Neodiprion lecontei: one gene and its partners. The protein of the gene in region 1 interacts with the protein of each later gene in a biochemical or structural test. Links are inferred from orthologs where the notes say so. Each region holds a gene or a part of one and is shown on either strand. Other genes may lie near its edges.

Region 1 (6,188 bases):
ATAAAAATATTTATATCATCTAGAACTGCTCCCATCTGTTTTGAAAAAGTTGGGTGAAATTTAATACGATTAATGATTTTCAATATCGCCGTACGTGTGACAAATTTTTGTACGGACATTTTTGCTTCAATAGAATCCGAGATCTACGATTTACGCGGCACTTTGCGTGTGGTATCGGTACATGACTGTTCTGATCACGTGAGGTCAATGGTTTATCAGTTCGTTACAACATTTCTCCAGCGTGATTACAGCAAACATGTTATGTATCAAAATTCTACGTAGTACCACCTACATAAGTATATGCAGGATCACTATTAATAAATTGCAAGGGGCGGTAGCTCGTCTATCCATCACATTAATACGACAAGCTACGAACCACAAATACATGTTTCTAATCGCATTAAAATGCATTCTTGCATTTCCATAATGTGCAGTTACTGGCTCATCGAATAAAAGAGATATTCTCTAAGTTGATTACAAATACTGCACCAAACAATCAGTTCAACAAATGAAAAAATATCTTTTTTCGAACAACATTAAAAATCATTTTTTACAAAATAACGAAAAGTGGTTCTTTGTTTATTTAATTTTCAAGTTTCAACCTTTCATATCACATAGTTCATTGTAATTCAAAGCCCAATTGTATAGGACCGGCCATTTGGATTATGGATGGAACATGGCGCAGGTTTGCTGACACACCACTCGTACCACACATTTTTTAATGTACACCTTCGCCAAAAGTGTGCCTCAACCACATCACCAGCATTGAGTAGAACGGCTTCCTGGAAAATTTATATGGTATTTTATTAAGAAATCTTGATCTGTTTCCACAACTTACAAGGAAAAAAAATAATACAACAATGTGACGATCTAAAGCTCTTATCTTATTGTTAGTAACCATAGTTGTATCAACATTCTTTTAGTTGGATTGTACACCAGATATATCCTTACGAAATATAAGATTCATGTGAATTATTACCTTGATAGGAAAGAAAATTGGGAACCAGCTAACCATGCCTGGACTGTGTGTGTTCGGTTCTATACTAATAGTCGCATCTTTGTACAAGATGGCTTCAAAGTAGCCGGAAAAACCGTGCAATACCGAATTTTGTTCTGCTACAAACTTTTTCACTTCATACCTGTTGTTATCAATAAATGGTTCTGAAGATAAAAAGAATAGAATGAAAATTTTTGTTACATTGTAATAGGAAAAACAGAAATTTTTCGCAGCTTTTAGTTACCATAAACGTTGATCAACTCTTACCTTTATTAGGATGAACGAATGTGAAGAGAGGCTGTGGTTGTGCAATATCATACTTGTTTTGAAGATGAACAACGTAAGGAGTTTCAAAGTGAGCCAGGGGATGCTTGTCTTTTTCCTTACATTGCCTGACTTCATTATACAACTTTGACGATTGCACTGGACTAATGTATGACGTGTATGAACAAGGTATACTTATTCCATCATCTATCAATCAGAAATATTTAGAAGACATATTAGTCTACAAATAAATCCATGGGAACACTATATGAATGAATGTAAGTATTGATGCAAGGTATACCACTTAGGAACTTTTGAACCCCATCTAAGCACTCAGGTGAAAGCTCGTTATCGCCAAAAGATCCTAGGAGCTCAGAAACGAGAATATCTGCTTTTTCAGGAGCAACCCACTCTCTCATGTCAGATGATACAACAGTGACCTTGTCTCCCCATATTTCTTTTTCTAAAGCCTGTAACCTGTGATCAATAATCTGGTAAGTACTAGCAAGTTGAGAGTTAAGTACAGATTTAGTTGATCAATTTGGTTATCAAAACAAATTATGCATACGTTAGAATGGCATTAGGGTTTTTCTCAACAGCATAAACCTTGACTTTTCTTTGTGCTTTTTCAGCAGCATTCAAAGAAGCCCGTACCAAGGGTCCTCTACCTGCGCCGACCACCATGATAACTCTGCACAATGTAAAACGTTACAAGATGTATTAATAACTTTGGTTAGTGAGTAGGCAATGAAAAGATTGTTCAATTGGGGGAAAACTGGTTGACTAATCATAAAATTCATCAGCAGCCTCTACCCATTCACAGTTCAAAACAAGTTCTTATTCTAGTGTAAGGTTTAACACGTTCCTTACAAAGTTTTGGTATCCTTTTCAGCTTCTGGAATCTTGTCGAGAATTCCTTGGTAAATAGCGGTCTGATATTGATTGTATTTGAAGGGATCTTTTTCAAATATTTCATATGTCTGAGATTCAAGATTATCCATCAACGGTTGCAACGGGCATTGCAAATAATCTTCATAGCCCCTGGCAAATCTTTCAACTGGCCCATTACTTTGATAAGTCTGGGAAAATGAAATAATCTTAGACATTTTAACCACAGATAGCAAAAATAAGTGTACAATGCACTGCACAAGAGTGAAATGAATAATTTGGATACACCGTACCTTTGCAAGATGATCAAGATAATTATGATAAAAAGTAATATCCTGATGTCTGTTTGATCCGGATAGAATCATTTGGACCCTCAGTGGAGAAAACTTCTTGAGCAACATTTGATGTGCCTTACTTAATACTGGATATCCTTTTTTATTGGTAATGAACAAGGTTGTAGGTAGAATTAGGCACTTCAGTGGTTCACCCAACCATCTATTTATCTGAAGTTAGATTAGGTAATACAGAGACCAGGTAAAACAGAAAAAATCACGTATGAGGGGAATATCAATGTTACAAGTCACCTCTTCTGCACTAGGAATGTCGTGACTAACAATCAAGGCAACACCAAGCTTCCCATGGAAGTCACAAACTAATCTCAGGGAATTCCACCACTCCCATGTGCTTTCAACTGCATCATCTCCTTTGTCTGATCTGTACGTGTTGGCTTGCTTAGCAGGGTTTTCCATTGGAACTTGAACCCACACCTACGAATGCCAAGGTTATTAAACATAATGATGAAAAATAAAGTTCAATCAAACTGATCTGTAAGGGTATTTGTTTTAGTTTTTCACAATTAGATTTAATTGACTACATTCTATGATTTTAAATTGGCGGTTAGATCAAAATATTGATACACTTGCACAGAACTAAACATCAATGTGTAAACATACCTGGAAGGCACAAGGAGTTGTAGACTTATTGTAAATAATTCGAGCAAAATTAATATTCTGATTCATATTTCTTGTTAGCTTGAATGTAATCGCTGGAAGACCTAGGTGTGTAGCCAATGCCAATTCCTGGTTTAAAGTCTCTTCGTTATTCTTTCGGGAGATTGGATTAGTGCAATCTACATCAATGTAAGGCGACAATTTCCCAATCACCAAGTTATTCCAATCTGCGAATTTAAATTCACTCAGTGGTATATGCTAAAAATTCTAGTAAGCAAATTTGAAAGTCAGTGCAAATGATTTTCTTCTCAGCTTACCGGAGCTGCATAGGATCATGTCAGACCTCGTGAATGGCCCAGGACGTTTTTTCAATTCAGGATCAACAAATTCACGTTTAAATTTTGGATGCACCAAGGGTATGCAGATAAAATCATACCTGCAAATGATGTCCATGAATCAGAGATTTTTTCAAGTAGAACGTCATGTTCAAATGGCAATAATAAATACTAACCTTGATGATGTCGCAGTCATCAAACAATTACTTAAATCTGGGACTGAACAGAAGTCCAGCCCACAGGAAACTTGTTTCTCAGCAGCCATTGTCACGATTTTAAGAACTCAACCGTATCCCGTGAATCAGAGAAACTTGTATATGCTGCAAAATTGCATTTCATTTTTGAATTGTAATCGATCTTATTAACTACATCTTGTAATCAGAATAAATGTAAAAAGTATAAGTAGGCTGTTGATTTATTGTGAGGATAATTTTATAATGCGTATCACACTGAATTAGAATTGAATTGATAAAGCCAGCAGTGAAATATCTATATACGTGTATCCTAATGTGTTGTTAGATACTTTCATTTACTGATGATTATTTGTTCATCAATAAGCGTTGTAAACAATAGAATAACAGCACAATGTGGGTTATTTCAGGTGCGCAACGAAGTTGCCACATTGTTATCGAGGTTAGGATATGCAGATTCGTTTACGTCTGATAAAATAGCAACAAGTTATCTGAATCCTATTTAAAAGTCTATATTAATGATTCATCTATCCTCTGCTATAGCCGTACCTGAGGTTCAAAGACTGCGATTCAAGAGCCGGTATTAACAAAATCTTGCGATACCAAATCACGCTTTGACATTCTCACCGGCCAGTAAGACTGTCATAGACTTGTAAAGAACATAGATAGACTGCGTGGTCCGCGCACCGAGCTGAAGCCCTAATTGGAAAGAGAAAGCAACGGCGGGAGTCCGACCTCTCACTCTAATTGGTCAATTGGCGGTATAAAGACGGATACCTCTGAGTAGATTTTTGTGACCAGTTTTCGGCGGGCAAGTGGGCCCGGGTGAGCCTGGGAGCGTAGGAGGGTTTTGCTCTATCGATTCTACCTAAGGGACTCGAACCGACGTTCGTAACAGGCAAAGTAGTGTCGGTATGGAAGCTTATATTTTAGTCGGTACAAAGTGAATACGTAAGACTACTTGTCGACTGCGACTTAGAAATCTTGATCAGCTCGATCATTCCCGCGAGAAGACGCGTAACCGCGTCCACCGCCGACCACCCCCAACTACCACCGAGCACTACCAACCATCGTCAACCACCTTCGACCACCTCGTCCCCCTCCTCCTCCGCCGCCTCGTCGTCCTCGTCCTCCTCGGCCATCTCCGATCACCTCCTACCACCTCCAACCACCTGCTACCAGCGCCGACTACCTCCTACGGCCTCCTACCAATTTCGAACACCACCAACCACCTCCGACCTTCGTCCTCCTCGACCCCCTGCTCGGCCATGTATTCTATAACATTAATATTCATAATTATTCCAACAACTTTTCATTTGCTCTCTCGATCTTGAATTGTCGTAGGCATAGAATCGAAACGCTGTTTCAGCTAGTCGCAAGTGAGGTATCTACATTGGGTAGGGAAATAGAATTGGTTTTAGAAAAGTGTTCGTACGGAAAAAAATTCAAAGTAACTGTAATACATCACGGATGCGCTAATTTTGATCGAGTCAAATGGATGCTGCTTATGTGAGACAGTATTTAACACAGTGTCCTGATTTAAAGGTTTGAAAAGATGGTTGTCGGCGATTTTTTTTTTTTTTGATAATGAGAGAAAGAACGAAGCTTCTTAAAATGTCGAGGGTATTTGAACACATATTTGAAAGGTACGAGCAAAAATTTTTATCATCTAACTGTCGCAGAACAGCAGCATTATTAGCTGACCCGTTAACTGAAGAATACATCTTTAGTCAACGGTTAACCATCAAAGGGCCTAGCCCCTTGAGTCTGGAATTGGCAGGGAAGATAGTGCGTCTTTCTTGTCTGAAATGTAAAAACTAGAATCATTATACATCATATCATATCATCATACATCATACATCCTACATCATACAAGATACATAGTATTAAAGTTCGAAACTAAAGTTTGGATATCGTATCTTCGTATGTTCAGAAAGTGACGTAACCCAAATTTTTTTTTCTCTTGCTAACCGAAAATCAGCTAACTGAATTTCTCAGTCTGGAAATAACCGCGCAGTAGAGCGGACGTATGAGAATCGCGCTCTGCAGATTTCGAGTACCGGATTCTCTACCTCCTGGATCTTGCGCTCCAGGTCCGCTACCTCGTGAAACTCGACTTCCAGGACAAGTGCTCCGTAGTTCTAGCTGTCTAGGTCCTTGACTTGGTGACTTTTGACCTTCAAGACTAATTTTCCGTAGTTCTGGCGATCCAGGTCCTCCACCTGGTGGATTTTGACATCCAGGAACAGTGCTCCATGGTTCCTGCGCTCCAGGTCCACTACCTGGTGAAACTCGATTGTAGGGACAAGCGCTCCGTGGTTCCTGCGCTCCACGTCCGCTACCTGGTGCAACTCTAGTTCCAGGACAAGCGCTCCGTAGTTTCTACGCTTCAGATCCGCTACCTGGTGAAACTCGACGTCCAGGACAAGCGCTCCATAGTTTCTGCGCTCCAGGTCCGCTACCTGGTGAAACTGGACTTCCAGGACAAGCGCTCCATGGTTCCTGCGCTCCAGGTCCACTACCTGGTGAAACTCGACTTCCGGAATAAGCGCTCCATAGTTCT
Region 2 (5,637 bases), about 23 Mb from region 1:
GTTTTCACAATATTTCGACTATGCACGCTATAAGTAAATAAAGTGATGCTTACTTGTACGTTTGTAAATTTTACTCGATGGTAATTTGTATCCATGGAGTCCTTAGGAATCTATTTGTCGGAATTGCAACGATCATGTTGGAAAAGGTCGATGAGCTTTCGTAGCGAGAATCGCATGAAATCGTTTCAACAGCTTCTATATGAGGATGATATTTAAATAAAAGCCGTGATCGTCTTTTAACTTGCCGTTTTGTAACATTCCGAAAATGAAAATTTCAGTTTTCTCAAGGTTGCTACGACTTGAGATCTCCAGAATCTCATCCAGTAATTATCAGATTAACGGCGGGATAAGCGTAAGTGCAACCAATTGATTTCATATCCGATAAAATCGATGCGCTTCTTCTTAACTTGGAACTTATTAGATTTTGGATCTGTTCGGGCCAGTAGCTTTAAATTTAAAATAACATTCAAATGATTTTATTTTGTTTAAGTGAAGATTCAATATTTTTCGGGATGCTTGTAACAAAAAATTATTTCGTCGCCTTCAAAAAAGACAATACAATCACTAAAAAATACTTTTGTACACCTCAGATATGTTTTATAAATACTTACGACAAGATTCTTCACTATCACTGTACACTCCGCGATTTTTATCCCCGTGAATTGACCGCCGGCTTGCGAATACTGCGCTTTCTCTCACAATCAGAACCACACAGTATCAAGACAAATTTTTCAAGACAAGACAATTTAAATTTGAAAACATTGTTGGTGAGAAAATCGATTGGGAAGCTGAAGGTTTAATTAACACATCGAGAGTGCTGTACTTTTCACATACCGTTAAGCAATTGCTAAGCAAAAGGCATGATCGATCGATTTCTTAAATATAAGTCCTTCACTTTTTCCTGACTTTTTCAGTTAAAAAATTCAAATTGCTATTTCCGAAAAAGTTACGTGCAACTTTGTGAAAGTATGAAAATCACGAAAAAACATGTTTAATGTCCCCGAGTGAGTGCTAAAAAGGTCGTAGTAAATTTTGCAAAGAACGGTAACGAAGCTGATTCTTTCTACTTTCAAATGCAACCTGCAACCTTTCTCTACGCCTCGTCGGAAACGACTGACGCCGCACTGCGCTGGGAAGCAATTCCTGATCGGTCGGAAATGCCATACGAGTTGCGGACAACGCTGTCAGACGTTCGAAAAATTGCCGAAATTTTCTGACGACTTCCAGCCGAATGAAATGTGTTAACCGAAGATATATTAAGTCATTCCTGAGGGTCCAATTAGTGGAAAGAGTCTTGCAAAAACGATTTTGGGACGAAAGTTTTCCGAGCTCTGAAAATCGCAAACAAAGGAAGGCTAAGCCCTTTGGATTGTTTGAGCCGAAATTTGGCCGATTTTGAAAAACACTTAAATGTATTCTGTGATGCATTATATGAACGTAATTTTGCGAAAAGAATTGGTTGCGCTCAGTTCGAATACGCCATCAGCTATTTCATCTCGCTTCTTCATTTTCTCCATTTTTTCCAATTTTTTCACGCTTCCAATTGATAACATAGATTTTTGAATTCTTTGAGCAAAAATGTAATTGAGATCCACTGACCTAGCCACGTGGGTTTCGACGCGCGGCATTTTGCCGTTGCGTCGGTACCCATTTTTGACGCCCGTATCAAATCCAGCCTACGACTGATAGATACACCAGAATCTCCGCGCATGCGTGCGGAAAAATACTCAGCTTGAGAGCCTGCTGTTTCATGTGACTGTTACACACTACCTGATCACTCTCCAAAGTGCAATATGATATAATATATCTTGACAGGTATGTTGACAAGTTTCGAAGAAAGTAATAACGAATAACGCGACCAGTGACGCGTTCTATTCCGTACACAGACATTCATCGATTTGATAAGAGTGGTGTGACAAACATAGCTTGCTAAAATAGGTGTAATTTTTCAGTATCAGAATCTGGCTAATGTGGGCAACAACGTGTGTCACGTGGCAAGCATTCTTGACTGAAATATTCACCTGAGCACCTATTCCAAATTCGACAATGGCATCACTGGACGAAGGCCAATTTAGCGATGCCGATGAAGAAACGATGTATGTACATACAATTCATAGGTTTCATACTACATACATTTCAGGCATTGCGCGATATTGTGTCACGAAACTGAGTCTAACCAAACCTGGCTATCTTTAAGCGCGTATGAAATAACATTTTTCATTCCTTCCCAGAGAAAAAACGAAATGTGGAAAACCAATGATCATTCACGAATTGACCGTCACAGTAGGACAATTGCAAATAGACATCGAAGACAACACAGAATATGACTCTGAAGACGATTCATACGATTGGGATGTAGATGCTAGAGGCAATTACCAGTTGAAGAACAATAGTCGTTCAAATGGAACGGCCAACAGTCAGATGGCAAGCAATAAAGTTTCCAACTACCAGCCTACTGATAAATTATTTCGACGTTACTCCAATAAAATAAATGTTGAAAAATATGAGGGACCCAGTTTGCCCAATCATGCGGCTAATTTACTTATCGAAAGTAACAAACGCACTGAAAATGAACGGATAAGAACAAAAGACAAACATGACAGAGCAACGGCTGAGCAAGTTATGGATCCTCGCACACGTATGATTTTATTCAAACTACTCAACAGAGGTATAATCGCTGAAATCAATGGTTGTATTTCAACGGGAAAAGAAGCTAATGTTTATCATGCCACCTCTAAAACTGGTATTGAATTCGCGATAAAAATCTACAAAACATCAATACTAGTGTTTAAGGATAGAGACAAGTATGTAAGCGGTGGATTTCGTTTCCGTCACGGTTACTGTCGTCACAATCCACGTAAAATGGTTCGCACTTGGGCAGAGAAAGAAATGCGGAATTTATTGAGGCTCAGTCAGGCAGGAGTATGTGCTCCGAAACCAATTTTGTTGCGCAGCCATGTTCTCCTGATGGACTTCATAGGTAACGATGGATGGCCAGCACCAAAGTTGAAAGACGTTGAAATAAATTCTTCAAAGGCCCGCTCGCTTTACAGAGAATGTGTTGTGATGATGTGGAGAATATACAATAAATGTAAATTGGTTCATGCTGATTTAAGCGAATTTAATTTACTCTATCACAAAGGAGAGATTGTTGTCATAGATGTATCTCAATCAGTTGAACATGATCATCCTCATGCGTATGAATTTCTCCGAAAAGACTGCACTAACATCACAGGTAATCATCTTCAGCATTTCAGTGTCTTTGACCTTCATAAGTAAAATTAATATTTTGAATGTGCGAGTAAATTTTCTCGTTTTCTCAAATGATTGTATATGCAAACTGATTCTTCAGAATTCTTCAAGAAACATGGAGTTGCAGTTATGACGATGAAGGAATTATTTGACTTCATCACAGATCCTAATATAGTGGAAGATACGATGGATGAGTACTTGGATGTGTTAGCAGAACAAGTTATGCTAAGAGAATCAGAGGAAATGGATCCCAACAGTCAAATGGAAGAACAAGTGTTTAAACAAACATATATACCTCAGAGGCTCAATGAGGTATAAATAACCATTAGTGATTGAAATATTCCTAATATATCCAATGACCAGAATATTTAAGCCAATACTGTTGCTCTCAATCTTGCAGGTTATTAACATTGACAAAGATATATCTGAGGCTAATACCGGAGAGCAAAATTTGTTAAGGAAAACCGTGTATGGACTGAGCATTGATTTACCCAAAGCAACAACTGTCACCTCAAAAATTATTTCAACCAAAAGTCACGACGACAGCCATACCGAAGAAAGCGGAGAGGATGTATCTGAATCTGATTCAGAGTCACAAAATAACGATGAATCGAAATTTGTCAATTCAGCTCGACCACGAGACGAAAGTCCTGACAGCAAGAAGGTGAATGCTTTTGATTCGTAGGCGATTTCTTCATCTATGATTAATTTGTCCATTGCTAATGCACAAATAATAGTGTATCGGAATATCGTATATGACCAGTCATGAAATATATGAGAAAATTGAAAATCGACGTTGCACCTTACGCACGTACAGCTCATCTTTACAATATCTGGATACATTTTTTCACATTCTCACCGTTACATGATACTCGTGCTTCAGGTTATAAATAAAAAATAACGAAACTACCTAGATGATTTCTAATTTAATCATGTTCACCAATGTTCCAGGCACGAAAAAAAGCTATCAAAGAACAACAAGCAGAAAATCGTAAGAAGAAAACCAAGAAGCACATAAAAAAAAGAAAAGAAAAGATGGTGAGAAAGAAATAGACACTAAATAGATCCTTGTACAATGTTTGATTCTAGTAATTTAGGATTGGCTCAGAATCTCGCGTTGTATGAATACATTATGTGAAATGATTTAGGTTACAACGAGCATTTTAACCTTATTTATGTAATGCCTTTCGGACTTAACAACTACATACACGGAACCGAAGGTAAACGATGAACTGAAAAAACCAGTCTTTATTGAGTAATTTATAAAACAACAATACTTTTGAAGCATCCCATTTCAAAAAAATGTACTATGTTACTTTTTTTTAAATACTTATAATAAATTTTTGTTTAATATTAAAATTTTTCGCTAATATTTACATTTTAGTGCTGTCACATACTGAGCACATAGATATAGTCATACAGCTAACATAGTTTGAAATAATGGTGTCCAGAACTTTCCCAAGTATTGATTATTACTATAATACCCACCTATTAAATGAATGAAAACTGGAAGATAATTGTAATTCTGTGAAAGTAGAAAATACGGCAAGATCCTTCATGTTATTAAAAAACTATAGTTATAACTAGAAACAACAGAAAATAGAGAAAACGCGATTCCTTTTTTACAATCATAGGGTCTGTTGTAATAATCAGATACTCAAGTTCAATATTGGATACATGGGAACATAATATAATTTTCTCAGCACATCAGACTGTTCAATAACCAGAATATACCTGTATGTCTCGCAAACCGGTACGTTGATAATTAGATAAATACATCTTGGAAAAAAAAACCGTCATAATATTTTGAACACAAAGGTACACATTTGAAAATTCATACACTAAGATGTGAATATGTACAACATAGGCCAGGCAGTAAATTTGATGATATTGAATGAATAACTCGAGATATTTATAGAATGACTACTAAGTTTGTTCAAATGCAATTTTCCTGGAAATAATCTATTTTAAGTAGTTGAAGTAGTAATCTAGTTCAAGTAGTAGTAGTATTTATACATGCTGTATACATACACACACACACACATATATATATATATATATATATATATATATATATGTACACACACGCACACATGTGTGTGTGTTGGTTTCAACTACTTGAAATAGTTTACCATTTCAAAAGTTATAATATTATTCTATTATATGAACAAAGATGGAGAGAAAAATTTATTTCTCACAGCACATGTAATGATGAATGGAACAAATTTGGACACTCAGTGGATATCAAATAGAATTGTGTAATAGTGATATCGAAGCAAGTTTTCATCTGCTGACTGAACATTGCAGAACAAACGCCACAGAACAGTAGTTAAAAATCAGATATGGGAAACTTTTTCACTGTTTTACTGACTATTATAAAGAAAT
Region 3 (4,600 bases), on another chromosome or scaffold:
CACTAGACCTGTTACCGTTAATCTGAACAGAGAACGTCGACAAAAGTACAATCACCCAAAGGGTGCGCCGGATGCTGATCTTATTTTTGGGCCCAAAAAAATTCGATGAGCAGAAAATAGTGTAACCTCGGCAAGGTATATTGTAATGATAACACTTGATATCGGTTTCTTATGCCTGTGGTAGCCATACTACCTGTGATGATTTTTATGCTATATGCATAAGTGGTTACACACACACACACGTTACGCGAGTACATCAAATGTTTAAGTATACAAAATAATGTACGCTGTTCTACAGATCTCAAATTCAAACGGGGATGTGTTTCCAAGTGGGATCGTTCGATTGAAACCTTTCGACCCCAGCTTTACACATCCATTACCAATAGGTATACGTGTAAACTCGGCATGCGCCGTTAATTGAGAAATAAACGTTCCAACGTTAAAATTACGTACAATAATTCGCATGCCTAACATCACATATTCCATCAACCATTTCCGACACACGATAGATAGTTACAATAATCTTAGATTGTCATTTTTACGCAAGGTATACTTCTCCGTCTAAAATCTCATTCCCATTAATCGCGTTAATGCGCAATGACAAAAATCAAATGCAATATTATATCTATATTTATATACCTATATTTTTTACCATAGGAATAGTTATCATGTACAAAATGAATATGAATATAAATTCGAGCGCTTTGTGTCTTAGCTGACAGAAATTTACTTCAGAGTATTGTGATTCGGTAAGCTTATAGCATTATGTCTACAACGCGCATGAAAATAAACTGCACGAACAAAGAGATATAGTGACGATTGACGCACGTTTTAGTTGACAGCAGAGAGTAGAATTTAATACCACCAACTACCTAAGGGTCTTCTTCAGCATCTTCAAACTGGCCTGCTTCAATATCCATGGCTTCGTCTGTATCTGCACCGTTCTGATTATATGCTTCATCTGGAAAATTACCATGCCAATTGAATGGTTACAGGGCCAGCATCTAGATAGCAAATTGTATTCAATCTAACCATTCAACAAAAACAGAGAGAAATCATACCCGATGCCAATATGTATGGCATAGCGTCTGTTTCAGCTTCCCAACATTTGAAAACATCGTCCTCAGCATCCTCATAGATATCCTCTTCAGCTGTGAAGTTTTTGTTCATTTCTATTCATTATAATTGTTTCTGTAACTTATAACTTGGAATTGAAATCTATAGGGTTCTGTAGCAGAGTTAGAAATAAATAAATTTGGTCAATTTGCGTGAAAAAAAAAGGTGCATTATACCTCCAAGGTAGAATACAATAGTAATTGAAGTAAAGTCAAAAGGATTGTCATGAATTTGAGGCATGACCATTTAGATACCTTGAGGATCAGGGTGGAGTGCTTGGCACTGGCTCATCGCTTGAAACATGGCATCCAAGCTATTTGAATTTTCTGGAACGAATCTCATTTCAGTCATTGGAGTTTCCGATTCATCGTCGTCGTCCTCTTCATCGTTGCCTTCAGATCGGGCATCTATAGGCAGCAATTCTTGCATATCTGTTGATATAGCATGACACAGACATACAGAGATATTTGTCCAAAATTTGAGTTAAGAAATACAAAAAAATCCTCAATCATCAACCGCAAGTATAGCACATGTATAAGGGAAAAAAGTATCCTCGTTTTTCATTTACCTGCAGGGTCTAATTTTGCATCTACCATGACATAAAGGTATTGGTGAGGATGTAGTTGTTGGTCCCTTGATATAGCATGCAGCGATATATTAGGATATTCCAATGAAAATCCTTGACCAGTCGTCCCACTAACCCATGATAGTAGGCTGAGAAAGTAAGATTACTTATAACACAGCCAATCCATGTTGCATATGGGTTCTAACCGTTGCTCTTGCGAGCCACTAGTTTGAAACATCAAATAAAGGGAGAGTTGTGTTCTTCACTACCGATACTCTTATTTTTATCGTGTCATCTACTTTAATTTGCAAAAAATTAATTCAAAGTTTGTACTGTAGAGATTCTACGCTGACTATACTAATTCTATAATCAGTATTACACCAAAATATAATATAATCTTAAAATTATTACACGAATAAAATTTAGTGTAGATCACTGCCAATCTAGGTCAACAGTACGATAAAAACGGCATATTACCTTTCTGTCACATACAGTGTACCCTTTCCAACTTCTCTGTCATTTATGTACAACGTAGTGTCAGGCTCTTCGTGTCTAACACCTTCTTGCGGCAGTAGAAAATTGATCAGCACGACCATTTTACAATCTGCAAAATAACACCACAAATTAAACCTATTCTACGTTATCATTATTGTAAATTAGAAGAAGTTAATTATTATAGGTTAGAGTTCAGGAGTCGAAGGGAAACCTACAACTTTGGGCGACTTGATTGATATTCGTAGCTGTATGACTGAACAGCAATTACGGAATCAAGAGCATTTGCTTTTCGTCGTGGGCAGCCGGGAAAATGGTTCTGAGTCAAAAACTCTTAAATCCACATTTTTCTTTTGAAAATATGTATCGCTCGAATGAATGCAGTACTTTGGTACCCTGTCGTTTCTCGGTCCAAGATTCAAACACGTCGCGCAACGAATGCAAGTCTGTCCGTGATAATAATGTAATAATTACCGAACTGATCGATCTTACCTCGTTTTACCTGCCCTTGACGTATGTACGGTACTTTCCTCCGCAAGTATCTCTTGCCGTTAATCGAGAAGAATAAGAATCACGGAAAGTATCGCAAGCGCTCGAAGCGCGGATCGTTCACTGCAGTTTTTCGGCCTGGTACATACACCCGGTGCACCCCTCGAGGGAGAAGATTTGACTCCGTCCCGCCTTTCTCTCTACTTTTTACCCTCCCGCAAAAACGCAATAGAGATTTTGACACTGCGTCGCCGGGTTTTCTCAACCCTCCAGCTACGCTGCATACCCGTGGAGCTTATGTATATATCTCGGTCTGCGTCGTGATTGGCTGAGCCCGCTCACTCAACCAATCACGGCACAAAACGAGAACTCGACGTGCTCAGCGGAGTAGGTGCTGCACCCTGGTACCCAGACCTCGTATTCATTTTGTAAACACAACTTGAAACTCCTGCACACGTATGTAACATGATGCATACATTATACACACACTGTCGCAACCTCGTGTGAATTGACAAGTCGCCGCTAAGTATTCTGTCTGCTCTTGCAAAAGCTACCTGACCGAAATGACAATGTCTTTGCCAAACCTTTTGTCGAGGTTCTTAGTAAAGAGATTATTGTTTTCGTCAAGCTATTATCGTCCAAAAATGTTTTCCCAGCTTGACATGCACACAACTGAGCGTAAGTCGCAGATCACGATTTCACGACCATTCTAACCTCTCAACGGAACTTCATAATGTGTCTATACCATTTTCTCCTTTAAAGGACTAGGTCACGGAGAATACGAATATCAGGATCCTACATCGGAGGACCAAGTGTAGGTTATTACATTCAAGTTGCCCGATTTACAGTCAACTTCTTAAATTTTCGATCAAGTCCTGTTCTTACGGTTTTGAAAAGCCGGATAGAAATTCTGCCTCTCTTATTTCGCAGCGTCAACGTGGTGTACATTACTAAACATGGAGAAAGGATACCAGTCAGAGGAAAAGTTGGTGACAATGTATTGTACTTGGCGCACAGGCACGGAATTGAAATGGAAGGTGCATGTGAAGCTTCCTTGGCCTGTACGACTTGTCATGTCTACGTAAATTCTGATCATCGGGAAAAATTACCCACAGCAGAAGACAAGGAAGAAGATTTATTAGACCTGGCTCCATTTCTGAAAGAAAATTCCAGATTGGGTAGGCTTTGGCAGTAAACGAAATTAAGATATCCAGAGTGGACAGAAAAATTCCTTTACAGTAACACTCTTCAAATTGAGGTACTTTATTTAAAGAGAATCTTGCGATCAAAATGAAATTCGCGGAAGTCATGCCGGATTGCCCTGGTTACTTTTAATAACAGTTGGCTTCCTTCACTCCCTTCTTAAACATGAATATTGGAAATTGATATTGGATTACATCCGATTTTCACCACTGTACAAAGTTTCAGTTAAAAAGAGTTACGTTTGCTGAGATAAAAAAGAAATGTTCCTAATATAATAATTAACTTCCATGTTATATATACCCCATTTCTTGGATTAATTTTTGATTCTAGGATATTTCTAGGATTTGTTTGTAGCCACTGTCAGACTCTTCCAATAGATGAGCTAAATAGATACTTTACTACTTTTTCATTCTTTCAGGATGTCAAATAATTCTGACTAAAGAATTAAATGGATTAGAACTTGAACTTCCAAAAGCTACAAGAAATTTTTATGTAGATGGTCACACTCCAACACCCCATTAAAAAAAAGGGAAGAATTGAATCTCCTACATGTTCAGAATCCCGCTTGTAGCCACATCATAATGTATTGTATATATAATATATTGTACATATAATGTATAATAAAAACCTTACCTTTTTTGATAATTGATGCAATCATTCTCATACTGACGACGATTTAGTGTTTCTACAGAGCACAGTAAACTTTACAGATGCACAAAGCATCACATTGACGGA

The links.
Region 2: the proteins of protein arginine N-methyltransferase 5 (region 1) and serine/threonine-protein kinase RIO1 are reported together in a solved structure, tested with the Homo sapiens proteins (2 studies listed by BioGRID, with this or other methods). The link is inferred for Neodiprion lecontei from reciprocal best matches to the Homo sapiens genes PRMT5 and RIOK1.
Region 3: the proteins of protein arginine N-methyltransferase 5 (region 1) and methylosome subunit pICln form a complex in vitro, tested with the Homo sapiens proteins (5 studies listed by BioGRID and IntAct, with this or other methods). The link is inferred for Neodiprion lecontei from reciprocal best matches to the Homo sapiens genes PRMT5 and CLNS1A.

What each region holds. Positions count from the first base shown.
Region 1 is NC_060261.1:7,111,580-7,117,767, reverse strand, and holds protein arginine N-methyltransferase 5, read right to left. Parts: upstream 4,518-6,188; 5' UTR 4,175-4,517; intron 3,755-4,174; 5' UTR 3,700-3,754; coding exon 3,611-3,699; intron 3,536-3,610; coding exon 3,417-3,535; intron 3,327-3,416; coding exon 3,103-3,326; intron 2,917-3,102; coding exon 2,734-2,916; intron 2,653-2,733; coding exon 2,443-2,652; intron 2,341-2,442; coding exon 2,132-2,340; intron 1,953-2,131; coding exon 1,830-1,952; intron 1,739-1,829; coding exon 1,563-1,738; intron 1,469-1,562; coding exon 1,265-1,468; intron 1,162-1,264; coding exon 980-1,161; intron 783-979; coding exon 630-782; 3' UTR 569-629; downstream 1-568. UniProt on the Homo sapiens protein: Arginine methyltransferase that can both catalyze the formation of omega-N monomethylarginine (MMA) and symmetrical dimethylarginine (sDMA), with a preference for the formation of MMA.
Region 2 is NC_060261.1:30,581,752-30,587,388, forward strand, and holds serine/threonine-protein kinase RIO1, read left to right. Parts: upstream 1-1,658; 5' UTR 1,659-1,815; exon of another isoform or gene 1,816-1,952; 5' UTR 1,953-2,046; coding exon 2,047-2,096; intron 2,097-2,231; coding exon 2,232-3,235; intron 3,236-3,352; coding exon 3,353-3,564; intron 3,565-3,652; coding exon 3,653-3,916; intron 3,917-4,203; coding exon 4,204-4,305; 3' UTR 4,306-5,030; downstream 5,031-5,637. Other genes in the region: putative uncharacterized protein DDB_G0282133, read right to left, coding at 5,626-5,637. UniProt on the Homo sapiens protein: Involved in the final steps of cytoplasmic maturation of the 40S ribosomal subunit. Involved in processing of 18S-E pre-rRNA to the mature 18S rRNA. Required for the recycling of NOB1 and PNO1 from the late 40S precursor.
Region 3 is NC_060264.1:26,458,814-26,463,413, forward strand, and holds methylosome subunit pICln, read right to left. Parts: upstream 2,919-4,600; 5' UTR 2,666-2,918; intron 2,286-2,665; 5' UTR 2,278-2,285; coding exon 2,159-2,277; intron 1,831-2,158; coding exon 1,685-1,830; intron 1,548-1,684; coding exon 1,371-1,547; intron 1,173-1,370; coding exon 1,062-1,172; intron 962-1,061; coding exon 873-961; 3' UTR 620-872; downstream 1-619. Other genes in the region: regulator of nonsense transcripts 2, read left to right, coding at 1-109; adrenodoxin-like protein 1, mitochondrial, read left to right, coding at 3,226-3,340, 3,425-3,476, 3,593-3,840, 4,284-4,387. UniProt on the Homo sapiens protein: Involved in both the assembly of spliceosomal snRNPs and the methylation of Sm proteins.